Linked DNA regions of Arabidopsis thaliana. The protein of the gene in region 1 interacts with the protein of each later gene in a pairwise test. Each region holds a gene or a part of one and is shown in the gene's direction. Other genes may lie near its edges.

Region 1 (3,116 bases):
GAAGAGCCATCATATCCTTCATCACTTGATCATCACGCTCTCTAGTTAACGCCGGTGAGTTTTCAGACGACGAACTCAACGTAATTCCATTTTCGATAACATCCCACAACTTCCTTGTTTTCAAGATGGTTATCATCTTGATTTTCCAAAAGCCATACGATTCACCATTGAAGATTGGAATAACTTGCTGCATTGTTGTCTCCATAGCTCTGATACCATGTAGAACTTTGAACTCTCAAAGTTGTTAAGGATCGGACAACACAGATTTTACTCTGTTTTGTCTTACTCTATATTTCACTCTGTTTTTATAAAACGAAAACCACACACTTTTATTACATATACAAACTGTATTTATAGGTTTACATGACACACTTTGACTAAGGGACACGTCTCTAGAAGACAACCTAATGTAGAGACACATACACACATGTAACTGTTTTGTAGTTAACAATTATATTTGTATCTCTTCGATGTGTGATACGAATATATATAAACCAGTTACTTCACTATATAATATATCTCTTCTAAAATAAGATGATGACTTGATCACTTCCAACAAATACACAACAAAAAAATCACTTGATCTTGCTCAAAACCTTATGCATTATGCTCTTATACATAAACTTACAAGGATGTTGAGTTTTCCTTGGAAGATAGAGGCAACGTTTTCCATGAGTTTCTCTCGTTGGTCACGAGAAGAAACGTCGCATACAGAAGTGGTGACCTCAAACCCTTTAGCTTGCCATTCACGTACGCATTCTTGAAGCTGAGTTTCGTTTCTAGCACATGTGTGGACTCTTGCTCCTAACATGGCTAGTTCCTCCACCACAGCTTCCCTATTCATAACACAGTTGTATACATATTGACACGTGCAAATATGTAATATGACATATTAATGTATTCAATATTGGATTAGTAGGGGGACTGACCCGAGGCCTTTGGAGCCACCGGTAACGAGAGCGGTCATGCCTCCAAGGCTCCATCTACATTTGTCTCTCAAGTTTTCTTCTGCTTTAGCCATTTCTGGATACTATTTTCTTCAATGAAGGTCACATATTTAAGGCCAAGAGGTGGAAGACTAGTCGTGAGGGTGGCCAAAGATACTTTTACGTGAATTGTTTAACTTTGTCCTTTGAAACCCCTGTCTGAATGTCTTAGCCACCTCTGATTATGAGCCACAGACCCAAAGATATTTTCTTGGAGATCTGAATTTATGGTTGAGAAAAATTCATAATGAATGAATGAATGATAATAATGAGTAATGACGTTCGTACACAGTAAGGCCTTTTGATGTTTTTCTTAGGTTACTCAAAATAATGGGCCTCGATTAAGGGTTAAGCCCCAACTACATGGGATCGACTCATGTTTCATTGTTTGAGAAAAACTAAAGACCCCATGTAACATGGGTTGAGCTCTGTTCTGCTCTAGCCATTGTTGTGTAATGATGTATTTTGATGAGAAATGATAATGAAAAATGGCTATTTATGATGAATTAATGATACGAGGCTATGAGATTGTTTGAAGAAATTGAGGAAAGCTAACGTATCTCTTGACGTTGTGACTGTTGTGGTGGGTAGAAAAATTAGAGATCAAAGTAAACAATCTTAAGACTGTAGTTTAGTGATGATGGCGTAACTAATGATGCATAATCAAAAACTAATAGAAATATAAGGCCCACGAAAATAATATATTGGGCTTTTCTTGGCCCATCAATAATCTGTTCTCAATCTCAAGAAAACATGAACCGTTGGATGTAACCAAACAGAAGTGGGTTATGTCCAGAATCTGAAGAGATCAGAGAGTGTGGGAGTGGACGGAAAGATGTCTGCGACAACAACACCATCTCTATCTCTTTCAAATTTCAGACCAAGATTCCAAACTCCAGTTAAAGGCCACCATATATCTCCACTCTCTTGGTCTGTTTCAAGAAGAAAGATCTTGTCTTTTAGGGTTCTTCGTCTTCACCAAGAAAAAACCCAACTATGGAGAGTCTCTGCAACTCCGGAAGAAATTTCCCAAGAGATCGTTTCTTCTGATTCATCTTCTTCTTCTGGAGCAGTTGTGTCTAGTGGTGGACAAGATGGTGTTGCTTTGATTATACAAGTGCTTCTCTTTGTTGCATTTCTTGCTCTCACGGTTCTCACCATTGGTGTAAGTGTTATCCACAAAACCAATCTTATCCATAAACTATGTCAAATCAAAATACAGAACCAAACCTGAAGCCCGGTTTGTGAGTCTCTAAACCGGTTTTATTTCATTACAGGTTGTGTACATTGGAGTGACTGAGTTTCTTGGGAAGAGGGAGAGAGAGAAGTTTGAGAAAGACGAGGCAGCAAAGAAGTCTAAGAAAGGTGGGAAGAAGAAGGCAATGAGAGCCAGAGCTGGACCAAGAGGTTTTGGTCAGAAGATTGAAGATGATGACATCGACATTGATCTTGAGTGATTTTGTGTGTAGTAGAGAGACAAAGATTGATTTTGTTTGTAATGTTGCTCAGTGATTGTCACATCTATGATATGTTTCTTGTGTACCAAGCAACTTGATGGTCGATATAACAAAAATATTGCAATATTACAGAAACGAAAGAGTTACTAGTGAAATAGGAAACAAGAGTTTGATGAAACAAATTACATAGATGGAGAAAAAACTCTAAACACTAGGATTGTCCTAAAAGCATGAACATATTCTCACTTCTACACATTTGGCAATGAAAAAGCCATTCTCTTTCGTGTAAAGGAAACCCTAAAATCCTCACCATACCTCAGCCCACCTTTACACCATTCTCTGCATATTTCCTCTCTTACTCATCAGCCTAAAGTGGGATGTTTGGTTCTATGTATAGAAAAACCGTAAGCAACTACACAATTTTACAGATTTGCAGAGAAAACAAAGCTCTCCTTCACAATTTTCCCGCAGATTATTTCCGGTTTAGATTTTACCTAATTCTCAAAACGCTATGGCAGAGCCATCCACCCTAGTTAAGCTGTACAACACTTGCGGCCTTACGCCATCTGAGGCTGGGTTAGGGACTGCAAAGCCATCCTCCTCTCTGTATATGAGAAAAAACCCACTTAGAGACATTGACACGCAATATATTGTCTTTCTTTCTCCAATCCTT
Region 2 (4,625 bases), 5.3 Mb from region 1:
TGATATTCATCGCCACCATCATAATCTTGACATCATTTCCAGCCACGATCAAAGTCGTCGGTGCCAAAAAAGATCTACCATTTTGCAATGTGGAGCTTCTACCTTGCGTCCTACCTTTTAAAGTTCGTGGTCACGGAAGCAAACTGCCTAATGGCTGTTGTGAGAAAATGAAAAAGTCAACATCATGTATGTGTAGATTCCTAATGGCCAAGGAACGTGACCTGAACGCAGCTGCTCATAGAATATTCTGGTTTTGCAAAATTTCCGTCCCTAATTGTCCAAAAATCTAGAGATATAGGTTATGGTTTTTTCTTAATTTATTTTATACATAAGTTATGTTCCTCGACTATATCTACGACATGATTGATTGAAGCTCGAGAGACACAAGTTGAGCTTCAATACACAACCATTTAAGAAACATATAACCATTTAAGCGAAAATTATTATTAATACTTTATCCACCTTTGTAACTAACACACAGAAACATGATCCTGTGACATTTTACGTGTTCCAGATATCACTTGATCCTGTGACTTTTTAGCATTTTCCAGGGTACCTTAAAAGTCGAGTTATCGATCTCTGCTAGTAATATCTGTTTCTAAATTGACAAGTGAAAACGAAGTCGTTTCGTCAACACCAAAAGCATTAAACACGTCAAAAAGACAAAACCACCTTTGTCTTCTTGCGTTCTTCGCCCTCAACCCACCACTATCAATTTAAGACCAATCTGAAAACCATCATGACGACAAGGATCATACATTTTTTCTTTGCTTTCCTTCTCCTTGCCTCACTTTTCCTCAAAGGCAGTATTCTAAAATACATTCGTACATATATACGATGTTGTGAGAAGCCGTACAGTTGTATAACACAACTAAAGTAGCAATCTATTTGTTAAATTTTATGGTGAGTGTGGATTCATTCAAAACTTCCATCCCCATCACTACCTTCATCCATCCGACCATTCAAGCTTCGAACCTTAGATTCTGTGGATCAAACCATTGGTGGATATCCCGTGGCTGCCTCAATTCTATTCTACTTTCCATTCAAGATGGTTCAAAGTTCTACTTCAAGCAGATATTTTGTGAATGGATTTAAGTTATTATTCCTGTCTATTTGAGTTTTGTAGAATTTGCTTTCTAGTATACATACTTCACCATGTATTATAATTGACTCAACTTTGGTCATCCAAGTCTATACTAGTTTATACTTTCATATGGTATAGTTCGGGACCGAACATGGGGTCCTATATCTAGGAGATAGTGGAGCAGCTGACGACACGTGACGAGCTCCTTAATGAATAAAACTCCACATAAACAGAGCTAACAATAGGACAACCATCCTTCCATCTCTCCGACTTCCCATATTGTTTTGTTTCTCAATTTTCTATTTAAAGACATCTAAAAAATGAAGAAAACAAAGATTATTAATTTCTACAAAGTAAACTCATCTTATTTTGATTGTAATTTCGAGTTACTAATACATTAGCAATGAAGATCAGTCCATGGATACTCATAGCCATCATCATGATGATCTTAGCATCATTTCCTTCTCCGATCAAAGTCGTTGGTGCAAAAAAAGAGCTACCATTTTGCAATCTGGATCTTCTAGCTTGCGTCCAACCTTTTCTAGTTAACGGTCACGGAGGCAAACTGCCTAAAGGCTGTTGTGAGAAAATGAAAAAGTCAACATCATGCATGTGTAGATTCCTTACGGCCAAGGAACAGAATCTAAACGCAGCTGCTCATAGAATATTCTGGTTTTGCCATATTTCTGTCCCCAATTGTCCAAAAATATAGGGGTTATAGGTTATGTTCCTCGGCCATAATTATGACACTTTGTACTAAAATGTTATAACACCTATGGGCAAGGTGTTTCTAAATTGGTAAGTCGGAAAACGACGTCGTTTACAAAATCCGATCTGCACACACACTCACATTCATATGTCGTTCTTCGTCAACGTCGGTGAAGAAAGCATAAACACGTCAAAAGACAAAAGCACCTCTGTCTTCTTGCTTTCTTCGCCCTTTTACTTCAACCCACGAAGATCAATTCAACTAAACCAATCTCAAAACCATCATGAGGACAAGTTTTAGACTTCTCTTCTTCGCTTTCCTTCTACTTGTCTCACCTTTTCTCAAAGGTAACACCTTTCTCTTCTACTTGTTCATTCATTTGCTGATTCTACTCTGTTTTTGTTCACATGATCTTTGTTTGAATTCATTGTGATGGGTTTTGTTTGTTTTTAGTTGCTTTGTGCCAATCGGATTCGGAAGATTCTGGCTTCGAAGTTTCTGATGTTGGTGAAGAAGAGAGTGATGCAGAGGAAGTTTTTGGTTTGGAACTTACCTCAGCTCCTGGAATTGAAACCCTTTGCGTTTTCCCCAAGAACAGTGCAAAAAGTACAGATTTTTACTCTGTTTTTAATCTAATTTCTGAAATTAGGCTTCTTCTCAATTTGGTTTGTCTGATTTTCTGTAGTAATAAAAGCTGGAGTTGAGACTGAGCTGCTTGTTGGAATGAAAAATGATGGTAATGAAAGTGATTTTTCTATCAAATGATTACTTGCAAAGTTAGCTATAAAGTTTCTAACTTTGTGGTTGGGTTATATGAATAGGTCAATCCAATGTAGATATTGTTGCTGTTAAAGGCAGTTTACATCTTCCTTTTGATCAAAATGCTGTTCAGAATCTCACTGCTCTGGTAATTAATCATCTTTTGCTTCTTCTCACATTTATTGCTTGTGTGATCTCACTTGTCTTTCCATATTAGTTTTTCCCTTTGTTAGGTTCTTTTCATTGCCTGTTTTGTCTCATCTCATGTTACTCCACACTATGCACTCTTTGTTAGGTCATTCATGGTTTAGTAACAATACCTGAACTTGTTACATCCCTGTATCTAAATGCAAGAAAGTCTCTCTCTAGCCTTTAATCTTTATCATTTATGTTTTGATACCAGATACTTGCTTTGGCTCTAGCTATATTCCATTTCATTTCTAGATATAGAATCTTACAATGGCTTTTGCTGAATATAGAGTTTTCTCCTCTTTTCCTTTTCTGGCCTTTGCTCTTTAAGTTTGCTACTTATTATTTGGTCATTTTGTCGAATCATCTAAATGTAGAGTTTCAGCAACGCGTCTGTGCCAACTTCCGCTCAAGCTACCTTGCCATATGCTTTTGCTGTCAGCAAGTTCCTGCAGGTATGTTTGTTAATCATATAGTTCTTCTAGTCTCCAAGATGACATTAAAATATAGAATAGAATCCGAGGTAACCATTTGCTCGTGCAGGCGGGTGCTTTTGATTTTGTTGGCACCATCATCTATGAGATAGATGGTAAGCCATACCAAAGCATCTTTTATAATGGAACTATTGAAGTTGTTGAAGATGGTCCTCTCTTCAGAATGGAGTCAGTCTTCCTTAGTGGTCTTTTAATCTTTGTTATCGCTTTTCTCGCCATCTATATCCAAAATGTTTTGAAGCATATGACCAAGGTACATCCTATTTCGCTATCTTATCGCACTTTCATTCCATGGTACTAACTTTGAGAATGGTTACTGTGAAAATGCTTTGCGCAGAAAACAAAGAGAGCACCAAAAGTTGAAGTTGGAACCGCAACTAAAGATGCTTCGCATGATGAATGGCTTGAGGTATTCGTTGCACAAGACCTAATAACTTTCTCCATAATGGGTTTTAACTTTTAATGTATTGAACATTTTGGTATTGATACATTGCTCTCAATGTATTGTGTAATGCAGGGTACTTCGTACACTCAATCTTCGAGTAAGTCAAAGAAGAAGAAGTAGATCTCACACGCTTTGTTAGGGGGCTTGAGATAAGAAACCGAAAACACACGAACGATAGTAACGTTGCAGTTGTTGGTAGAGATAACTTCACAGAATCTGTAATGCTTTCTTTACTCTCTCTAGCTATAGATGTTGCAAGGAAACAATTTTCTTTAACTTTTGTAATTTGTCAAGATTATTTTCTTTTGTTTAAAATGATAATTCTCTTTCGAAAGTTCATGTATATAGTAAAGAAAAGTTGAATAATCATTAGATTAACAATATAGGTTGAAATTTTGTATTTGGAAATTATATCGTATAATCCAAGGTTTAAAATATGAGAGTTGTGTCATTAGACTATTATGATGCTCTATGAAGCTAATCCTCTCAGTCTCTACAATTATTTAAGAGTGGTTTGGGCTAAGTACATGTACATTATCGGAACTCTTATTTATCTCCAAACCAATGGGCTTCTTTTTACGACATTGGGCTTAATATTCCTGGCCCGTAAATAAATCAATGAAACGACTACTTAATATCTTATCCAGTAAAAAGGTAGAGAAAAAAAAAACACAATATTCTCTCTCTGCCTCGGATCCACGCAACTATTAACCCTAGTTAGATTCAACACTAACCACAGTTAACACGAACCCTTTCAATCTTCCTCCACGTGTCAAAATCAACGGTCACAAAAATCATTTCCTTCTCTTTATAAAACACTACCAAAACCCTAATCTCTTTCACACAATCACAGAACCTAATCTTCTTCTCCAATCAATCTCAGAGAAAAAAAGAAATGGCAACAAACCCTAAAGTCTACTTCGACATGACCGTCGGTGGCAAATC
Region 3 (5,870 bases), on another chromosome or scaffold:
AGTCAAAGACGCTTATACTAATCTCACCTTTAGAAACTCATTACTCAAAAAAATTTGGCCCTTTCGTTGACTCTTTTTTTTCACAATGTTCTTGCGATCAGATTGAAGAAGAAAATAATATGAGATGAATCAAGAAATCATATTGGTGAAGTGGAGATTTGTGTGGTTTGTATAAAAGCTTCTTCGAATATAATCTTTAAATTTTCTTCAAGGAAAAGTATTGCACAAGTTTCTTTAGTTTTCTCTTCTCCTTCCTCTGAAAACAGAAACAGAGAGAGGGAAGAAAAAACAGAGTATGGAAAAAACAGAGAGATTGGTTCTGTTAACAGCACAAAAATGGGGAAGAGAAGAAAAGAAACTTCGTGCCGTTTTTGTTGATACAAAACGCTGAAAATACACGGAGAAATAGAAGAAGAAGAAGATGATGAAAAAGTTGGATCTTTTTAAAATCTTTGAATCTAGTTGTTGTTGGTCGGCCGTCTAACTCAAGAGACTATTATTATTCCTTGAAAAAGTTTCATTTCAAAAAAATGTCCCAATTGGGTTTATTCCTAAATTAAACTTAAACCAGCTCTAACTTTTTATTATTATTACACATCTATCTTATTTGTTTTAGATATACCCATGCTTATTTTGGAGATAAAGTTAGATTAAAATAACTAAAATAATAACTTTGTTGCTAAAATAAGATAATGACTTCATAGTTGACTAAAGTAAAAAATCATGAAATTAGCTTAATTAAATTGTTACTAATACTACTCAAGTAAGAAAATAATGAAAATAGGCAAATACCGTGCCATCACGTTGAAGTCTATAATTTTTTTTGTTTTTTTTTAATAATCATATTCTTCAGTATAAATCACCTTTTTGTCTATTTTATTCCCAATACGAATTACTTTTCTTACGTCCAAATCAATGTGAATAATCTAGCTACATTTTTCTTCATTTTCTTTTTTTAATAACCACCTTTCATCAGTGTCACAGAAATTTATCTAAGGACGTGCGTTAAGACTATCTGGGATTACATCAAAACTGCAATTGTTTTTTAATACTCTCATTATATTAGTCCTTGTAGACGTGTAGTACTAGTACCATGTCGAAAAAGTAAACATTTGTATCAATTGCTATATACATATATTAAAATGGTTGTAAATACAATTTTAAATTCTTAACTTAATTATCTTGAAAAAGTAAGTTAATAAGTGTCTGCATGTGCTATATTTCCTTTAACAAAAAAAAAAGGCCTGACAAAAGGAAATTAATAAGTTCTCTAACTCTTGTCTAATTAATATAACACCAAAAACAGATGTCTAGGCCCCAATTAAAATCATATTACTCTGATATGCAGAAAGCGTATTTGAAACCCTCCACACAAAAAGCCCAATATACCAAACACATGCTTGCAACTATTTTTGTTTTTGACAGCTAGTTTAGCTACTTGTTTATGTTATGAAACACAATGAAAAATTATTCAAATTTCATAGATATAGCTTCAACAAGCTGTAGATAGTAGTAATAAACTAGTTTTCAATTTTATTATTTACGTAGTTGGTAGGAGCTAATCCAACTTTACACATCGCTAAATGAAAAATTATTATTCATCTTAAATACTCAACAAAATTATTAATTCTGTCTTACCAAAATGTTATTAATTCTAAGAAATGATAACAACTACTAAGAACAGTCTACTTGATCAATTTCTTATAACTTTGAAACCACAACGGACATACGTAGGGTTATATTTCGTATTAGATAAAATAATAGGTAAAGATTAAAATGATTTTAAAGGACAGGGACCTTAAATTAATACCAGCGTCAATCTCAAGGTTTAAAAAAAACTTTAATAATTACGTTCAGACAAAGAAGAAAAATCCTCACTGAAATTCGAGCAAAAAACACTCACTTCGCTCTTTCTTCGCTAGCTTCGTTAAATTCAGCAAATCTATCTCTCACGATCGAACAGAACTGAGAGAGAGTGTGAGCTTAGCCATGTCTTCTGAGAGACCAGACGAAGAGAAACCAGAGACTCGCGATGTTCTTCGAGTCCAAGATCTGATCCATGGAGGAGGAGGAGCTTCACCGGTTCAATCACCGACACGTCTCGGTCCAACCCGCTTTTCAGAAGTAGCTGGAGACAAGATTCTTAACACCGGGTCGAATTGTATCGGGTCGGTTTTGTCTTGGATCAACGGAGATCCAAACCGGAATTTGAAAAATCCGGTTAAGAGAGCAAAAAGGAAACGAATCAGAACGGCGAAAACCGCCGCGTTTGTAATCGTACTTGTTGGTTTCTTCATTTTCGTTAATTGGTTTATGCTCTCTCAGCTCCATGAAGGTCGAGCTTGGCTACGGAGAGGATTCTCGAAAAAAACGAATCTTAAACCGAAACTGAACCCGGATCCGAACTCGAGTGTGAAACGGGTATCCGTTAAAGTGTCGGCGAATGTACAGGTAAATTAGTTAAAAATTTAATAATGTGATTGGTCAGTCAGTTTACTGTGAACTTTAACTTTTTAACAGTCTGTTTCTTGTCAAATCAATTTCAAATCCCCAAATGGTTAAATTGTGTAAAAATTTAAACTTTTTGTCTAATATACAATTACTTCAAATACAGATTTGGTTAGAGAAAAATAAAATCCTCTGTTTGAGATTTGTTAGTTAGAATGTGAAAATGCTGTGGTTAGGAGACAAAGTTTACATGTTTGAGATTTTGCTAGGTGAAGTATGAAATTATTGTAGTAAATGGTAAGTTTATGTAGTGTAATGTTATATATTACATGATTTTTGCATTTGGATTAATGGTTATGGAAGTTTCATTTGATGTTGAGTGACTTATGATTTGGTAGCATAAAGAGAAGAAAAAGATGGGAAAACCAAAGAAGACATATAATGGAACATATGGTAGATTGTTGGCTTATGCTGCTCATGCTTTGGCTGAGGTATTATCCTTTCCGCTTTCGACATTTCGAATTCTTAAACCGAAACCGAAAAGCCTACTGACCGAGACATTGTGTTCGTTAGGGGCAAAACAAGCTTGAACCAAAAGAGTTGTGGAGAGAACCAAAGGACCAAGCTTTGGCTTGGAAGCCTTGTGCTGATCAACGTTCCTGGAAGCCTAGTGGTCTCTTACTCTTACTCTCAATGAGTTTATTTCTCGTACTATATAGGTATAGTTTTTCTGATTTTTGTGTTTTTTTTTGTGTGTGGAGTTTAGATGGTAAAAATGGATATATAATGGTAACTGCAAATGGTGGGATCAACCAACAGAGAGTTGCTGTAAGTTTTGATTGCGTTACACATTACTTTGTCATGTCCCACTCTTTATATTGACTAACCGTTGGATTTCGCGGGGACATTATTAAAACAGGTTTGTAACATCGTTGTTGTTGCGCGGATGCTAAATGCGACACTCGTTATTCCTAAATTTATGTTCAGCGATGTCTGGACCGATGCAAGGTAACTATTGTAAGGTCCCTCCGTTCTCTGTCTCCTTCTCTTATAATTGATGCTTTCTTGAAAACGTCAAATTTTAACACTCTTGAATGGTATATATATGTTTCATAGTCAGTTTGGAGATATCTATCAGGTGGAACACTTTATAAAGTATCTTTCTCCTGATATCCGGATTGTAAAGAAACTACCCAAAGAGCTTCAGTCTCTAGATCTTGAGGCTATTGGCAGCGTCGTAAGTTCCTTACACCGCTTTTAGTGTGAAAAACCGATTTCATCTTCGTATTTTTTCTAATGTAGTTCTCTTTTATGTCGTTTTTTAAGGTTACGGATATAGATGTCATGAAAGAAGCCAAGCCCGGGTTTTATATGAAGCACATTCTTCCTCTTCTACTCAAAAACAGAGTCGTCCATTTCTTAGGATTCGGAAACCGTTTGGCCTTTGACCCGATACCGTTTGAGTTACAGGTAAAGAACCTTCTTTTAGCACCGTGGATATCGATATATTACCCGTAATGATCCAACTTTTTCTTGGGGAGTAGAGGCTGCGGTGTAGATGTAATTTTCATGCGCTAAACTTCGTTCCGAAGATACAAGAAACGGGTGCGATACTCGTAAGGAGATTACGAGATAGTGGATCACACCTTGCACCAGTTGACCCGTATCTCGTCGGTCCAAAATTTGCGTCATTCATATTGGACAAGAAAGCAGGTCCTCTCCATAAGGCTTCTAAGTATCTAGCAGTCCATCTCAGGTTTGAAATTGATATGGTGGCTCATTCTCTCTGTTACTTCGGAGGAGGTGATGCGGAAAAGGCAGAGCTTGATGCTTACCGGGAAAAGCATTTCCCGACGTTGGCAAATCTAACAAAGACGCAAAAGTTTGTTCCTTTCCTCTCTTAACTCTTTTTCACATTATTATTTCAGTTTTGGTATCTCACTGAATGCCCTTTTGTTTTCTCTTATGCAGAATGCCATCTCCAGACGATCTGAGGACAGAAGGACTTTGTCCTTTATCACCTGAAGAAGCCGTGCTTATGCTTGCGGGTCTGGGTTTTAGTCGGAAGACACGTGTTTTCGTCGCTGGTGCGAATATATATGGTGGGAATAAACGGTTAGCAGCTTTAACGAGTCTCTACCCGAATCTAGTCACCAAAGAGAATGTACTCTCACAAACTGAGCTAGAGCCTTTCAAGAACTTCTCATCTCAGGTGAAATGAAAACAAGAAAACCCGTCAAAACTTCCTTTTCGGTTTATCGGTTAACTTTCTCCGCTAAACTAAACCGAAGAATTGCATATTTTTCTTTCTGGTTATGTAGCTAGCGGTTCTTGATTTCATTGCATGCGCTGCATCAGACGCCTTTGCGATGACGGATTCAGGGAGCCAATTGTCGTCTCTGGTCTCGGGTTATCGGATATATTACGGAGCAGGGAAAATGCCGACGATCAGACCGAACAAACGGAGATTCTCAGACATATTGTTGAAGAACAATACTATAGAGTGGAAAGTGTTCGAGCAGAGAGTGAGAAAAACGGTTAGGCAAACCAAACATGTATTGGTTAGACCGACGGGACGCAGCGTTTACCGTTATCCAAGATGTAAAGAATGTATGTGTAATGAAGATTGATTATTTGGTTTACATTGTTGGTTCGGTTTTTTAAACGGTCTTCATATTTTTCATGGCATTTGTAGCGGCTACACATTCTAGTGAGTACCAAGCTTGAGTTTGGTACCAATATGGTATTATTAGTATTTGGTTTTGGGGGTATTTTGATGCTGGAAATACTAAGATTGGGTTTGGTAAACCGGTGGTAAGTATGAAATTTATCTCTCTATACATGCATAAGTATGAAATCCTTCCAGAAGAATTAAAGTTAGCTTGAAGGATTAGGTGGATAACTACCATTCTACTAAGCACTTATTTAATGAGTAACTGTTTTACACTTCAAAGACTTGTCGGTAACAATGATTCTTCATCTTGATGTTATATATAAACTAAGTTAGTACACAAGACAGATATTGCAATAACAATTCACAAAATGCCTTATCCTCCTCCTCATCGTCATCCTCCTCCTTTCCACCATCCACCGCCACCAAGACCACCGCCTCCGGAGCCTCGCCCTCCTCCACCTCCTCCAGGACCTCAGCCACCACCTCCACCTCCTCCCAGACCTGATCCACCACCTCCACTTCCCGGAGCTACTTGGTTTCCAGGACTTCTTGGGCCACGCCCTCCTAGACCACCATATTAGTCGTCATGAATGTTTTGGTCTATTTAAGTATATAATTCGAAATATATATTGTCGAAACATCTTAGATCTTTAAAGATTTCATATGTGTAACACTTTCATGTGTATTAGGCTCATCTGTGTAATCATCCTTCATATGTGTAATTAGAATGTATCTCAACCTTCGCAGG
Region 4 (3,703 bases), on another chromosome or scaffold:
ATCATATATGAGAAAAAAATACACTAGTTTTACATATTCTTCCTCTGAATTGGTATTACCATATCCTTATTTAGACACTATTTTGAAAAAATCAACAAAGAAAAGCTCTTTTCATTCCACTATAAATTCTCTATCTCCTCTGTTTCGTCGAACAATACAGAACAAAATGGCAAGAATCATACTCACTGCTCCTCTGTTTTACTTCTTCTTTTCCTTGTTATCTCACCAAACCATGTCCCAACCTCAACACATGCACACTTTCTGCAGCGTCGACAGCTTCACACAAACCAGCTCCTACGAAACAAACCGCAACATCCTACTCACCACTCTCAGCTTGACTTCCTCGCTCGTACACTATTTAAACGCCACAATCGGTCTCAGCCCCGACACAGTCTATGGCATGTTCCTCTGTAGAGGAGACATCAACACAACATCTTGCTCAGACTGTGTTCAAACCGCAGCAATCGAGATCGCTACAAACTGTACTCTTAACAAAAGAGCTTTCATATACTACGACGAGTGTATGGTTCGATACTCAAATGTTTCCTTCTTCTCTGAATTTGAAAGTAAACCAGTCATCGTTCGTTACTCTCTTCGTTCTGCTCCAAACTCAAACCGGTTTAACCAAACCCTATCCAATAAATTAGACCAACTGATTCCTAACGTCTCTCCGTCAACTTTGATACCGTATTTTGTGGAGGATCAAGAACGTGTGACTCAGTTAGAGGGTTCATATGATTTAGTGTCAATGATTCAGTGTAGTCCTGATCTTGATCCATCAAACTGTACCATTTGCCTCAGATTTGCGTATGCAACAGTTTCAACTTGTTGCGGTGTACCAAGTTCGGCTCTGATTTTTACTCCTAAATGTATTTTGAGATATAGAACCTTTGTTTTGCCATCACCAGCGCCGTCTCCATCGTCTCTGCCTCCTATATCTCCGACATCTTCGCCTCCTCTGTCTCTGCCGCCTCAATTGCCGCCTCCTCTTTCGCAACCACCGCCCCCGCTGAGCACTTAATCCGTGGTTTTCTTGAAAAGAGATATATGATTGTTGTATGTATTGTTTAGAACTTTTAATCAAATATTTATTCCTAATAGTTCACATACTATTGATAAGGAGGGTTTACTCTAATTTGTGTTTTTTCGTTTGTGGCAGGAAAATATTTGCGTGGATTGCTTTTACAATGCCAGCTTAATGAAAACGGGTCGACGTGACATTAAGGTGTTTGCACTTGTGGATTTGGGACCAAATGTGATGATTTATGGATTAATTTAAATAAATGATTTGTGAAATAAAAAATAACGTTTAATCTGTGTGATGTGTATTATATTTTTATGATTTATGATCATAAAAAATGTTAATATTTTCCCCCAAAAAAAATTAGGTTTGATTCTGATGTTTATATGGATTGATTAGAAAGTTAAGAAGAAATGGAGTTTGATGCATGTCCATATTTTTACTTTAAAGGTTTTTATTTGTTATCTTTTCCATAAAATTGCAACTTTACATAAAAATGTCAAATCTAAAACTCAAAATACCTAAAACACCTTGCTGACGGAAAAAAGGTTAAAACCAAACACCTATATCTCTCATTAATGACTTCCCTACTAATATATTTTTTTTTTAAATTATAAATTAATCTTTTCTTACCCGTTGGATTTTCTTTTGTCTATAGTCCAAAAAAAAAAAAAAAGATTCATGTGGTTCTAAACCTCAGAATATCTTCAGTTCTCAAAAAAACTAAAATGTATGAACAAGTCTTGTGCTTGGGTTTAGATCTTTCACAAAACCAATGGACAACTTTATCTTTTGACTTTTTGCTTCATCGAACCTGCAAAGATATTCAACGTTTTATATATATACAAGAAATATGAAATATATTCAACTAAAAACAACAATAGTTATATATAGATTCTTCCTCTGAACTCGTCTACCACGTTTATGTGTGGACATTACGGATCTGAATGAAATAAAATAAACAAAGGTATTATTTAATTATATAAATCTATGTTACGTTTTGTCCTTTCTCATTAGTCATAACAAAAATGACAAGAATCATTGATGTTTCCCTGTTTTGCTTCTTCCTATTCTCTCTTGGAGCCATGTCCCAACCTTCTCAAAATCTAACTGATTGCAACCAATTTCCCGACACTTATCAATCAAACCGCAACACCGTCCTCTCCACTCTTCGTAATCATTCCTCCCTCGGAAGCTATTACTTCAATGCCACGGCCGGTCTAAGCCCAAACACAGTCTATGGCATGTTCCTGTGCATAGGAAACATAAGCAAAACATCTTGTTCAAACTGTGTCCATTCCGCAACGTTAGAAATGGATAAATCCTGTGAATCTCATGACACATCTTTCATGTTCTCTGACGAGTGTATGGTTCGGTACTCGGATAATTCTTTCTTTTCACTCGTAGAAGATTCACCTGCCACCTTTAGTTACTCTCAGAATGATTCTTTGAGTTATCCGCAATTTTACAATCAAACACTTCCTGGAAAATTAGACGAGCTTATCCTCAAAGCCCCCTCATCTTTTTCGTCACCGGTTCCATATTTTGTGGAAGATAAAGAACATGTGACTCAAGTGGAAGGTTCGTATGATTTAGAGGCAATGGCTCAGTGTAGTCCTGATCTTGATCCAAGCAGCTGCACCGTGTGCTTGGGACTTGTGGTCGAAAAATTCTCCGAATGTTGCAGCCAATCTCGTTGGGCTCGGATCCACTTTCCTAAATGTCTTCTGAGGTATGACATCTCTGCTTTGCAACCAAACCTAACGAGTCTTGGCGTTACAACAAAAGGTTAGTCACAGTATATAATGTCCGTTTTTTCCTTTCCCCACCCTATGGAACTTATGTGATATATATGGCTTTGAATTGCTCCTTTTTTTCGGTTTTACAGGAGATGATATATTTGGGAGAACGTTTATTGCAATCATGATAGGTTTACTAATGGGTTTATGATCAAGTCTAGTGATGTAATAAAGATTGTAACTACTGATTTATATTTGTGTTCTCTCCATTTGGGTGATGGTAAGATCATAACCAGAGTAAACCGACGTTGACTTGGTCAAAGATTGAATGGAGATATAGCATCATGTGTTCTCCTATATTAGTGGGATTATCTCGCAGTACTCATTCCTTCGTATATTTAAGCATAGTTAATTATGGAATCATAGGGGAGAGAGAAAAATTGCATTGAACGTGCTCATAAGTCTTTGGGTGGTATACGATGATCACAACGAATCATGCCTTAATTTGGTGGTAGCGCAATTGAGGTAATCTAAATTACTAAATTTCAAGCTAAGAACGCTGTTAAATCATTGATGCCATTTTGAAAACGTTGTTATCAGTCTTAAGAAAATAGATGTGATCATAATACTAATATATATATATGATGGTCTATCGTGAAATTGTAAGTCAAATCAAGAATCAAGAATAGGGGACAGAGTTTGGAAGACAGAGATCGATTCAAGGATCTAAACATATCTTGTTTTCTATGTTATCTCCAACTGTAACTACTAACTAATATCCTCATAATCTTCTCTGCATCAAAACATGCCTTCCTAATTGTAAAACTAATCAGAGTCTTCTTAAACCCATAAAAAAGGGTCTTCCTAAACAAGTCTTATGTTTTGCTTCAGACAATAATACCAAAAACATGTACACTGCCCAGCTTAAATAATTTTGTATTAT

The links.
Region 2: the proteins of AT2G29180 (region 1) and AT2G16595 interact in a protein complementation assay, tested with the Arabidopsis thaliana proteins (one large-scale study listed by BioGRID).
Region 3: the proteins of AT2G29180 (region 1) and AT1G62330 interact in a protein complementation assay, tested with the Arabidopsis thaliana proteins (one large-scale study listed by BioGRID).
Region 4: the proteins of AT2G29180 (region 1) and AT1G63580 interact in a protein complementation assay, tested with the Arabidopsis thaliana proteins (one large-scale study listed by BioGRID).

What each region holds. Positions count from the first base shown.
Region 1 is NC_003071.7:12,541,260-12,544,375, forward strand, and holds AT2G29180 (uncharacterized protein), read left to right. Parts: upstream 1-1,673; 5' UTR 1,674-1,821; coding exon 1,822-2,151; intron 2,152-2,263; coding exon 2,264-2,443; 3' UTR 2,444-2,576; downstream 2,577-3,116. Other genes in the region: AT2G29170 (NAD(P)-binding Rossmann-fold superfamily protein), read right to left, coding at 605-836, 930-1,021; PUM2 (pumilio 2), read right to left, coding at 3,001-3,047.
Region 2 is NC_003071.7:7,196,287-7,200,911, forward strand, and holds AT2G16595 (Translocon-associated protein (TRAP), alpha subunit), read left to right. Parts: upstream 1-1,840; 5' UTR 1,841-2,076; coding exon 2,077-2,140; intron 2,141-2,246; coding exon 2,247-2,399; intron 2,400-2,478; coding exon 2,479-2,529; intron 2,530-2,614; coding exon 2,615-2,700; intron 2,701-3,118; coding exon 3,119-3,196; intron 3,197-3,284; coding exon 3,285-3,488; intron 3,489-3,572; coding exon 3,573-3,644; intron 3,645-3,752; coding exon 3,753-3,800; 3' UTR 3,801-4,099; downstream 4,100-4,625. Other genes in the region: AT2G16592 (Bifunctional inhibitor/lipid-transfer protein/seed storage 2S albumin superfamily protein), read left to right, coding at 1-290; AT2G16594 (Bifunctional inhibitor/lipid-transfer protein/seed storage 2S albumin superfamily protein), read left to right, coding at 1,488-1,796; ROC3 (rotamase CYP 3), read left to right, coding at 4,576-4,625.
Region 3 is NC_003070.9:23,044,976-23,050,845, forward strand, and holds AT1G62330 (O-fucosyltransferase family protein), read left to right. Parts: upstream 1-1,792; 5' UTR 1,793-1,989; coding exon 1,990-2,451; intron 2,452-2,846; coding exon 2,847-2,939; intron 2,940-3,021; coding exon 3,022-3,121; intron 3,122-3,214; coding exon 3,215-3,276; intron 3,277-3,367; coding exon 3,368-3,456; intron 3,457-3,564; coding exon 3,565-3,685; intron 3,686-3,774; coding exon 3,775-3,918; intron 3,919-3,992; coding exon 3,993-4,330; intron 4,331-4,419; coding exon 4,420-4,660; intron 4,661-4,769; coding exon 4,770-5,078; 3' UTR 5,079-5,362; downstream 5,363-5,870. Other genes in the region: AT1G62333 (uncharacterized protein), read left to right, coding at 5,491-5,703.
Region 4 is NC_003070.9:23,575,284-23,578,986, forward strand, and holds AT1G63580 (Receptor-like protein kinase-related family protein), read left to right. Parts: upstream 1-2,045; 5' UTR 2,046-2,049; coding exon 2,050-2,809; intron 2,810-2,909; coding exon 2,910-2,971; 3' UTR 2,972-3,203; downstream 3,204-3,703. Other genes in the region: AT1G63570 (Receptor-like protein kinase-related family protein), read left to right, coding at 8-1,021.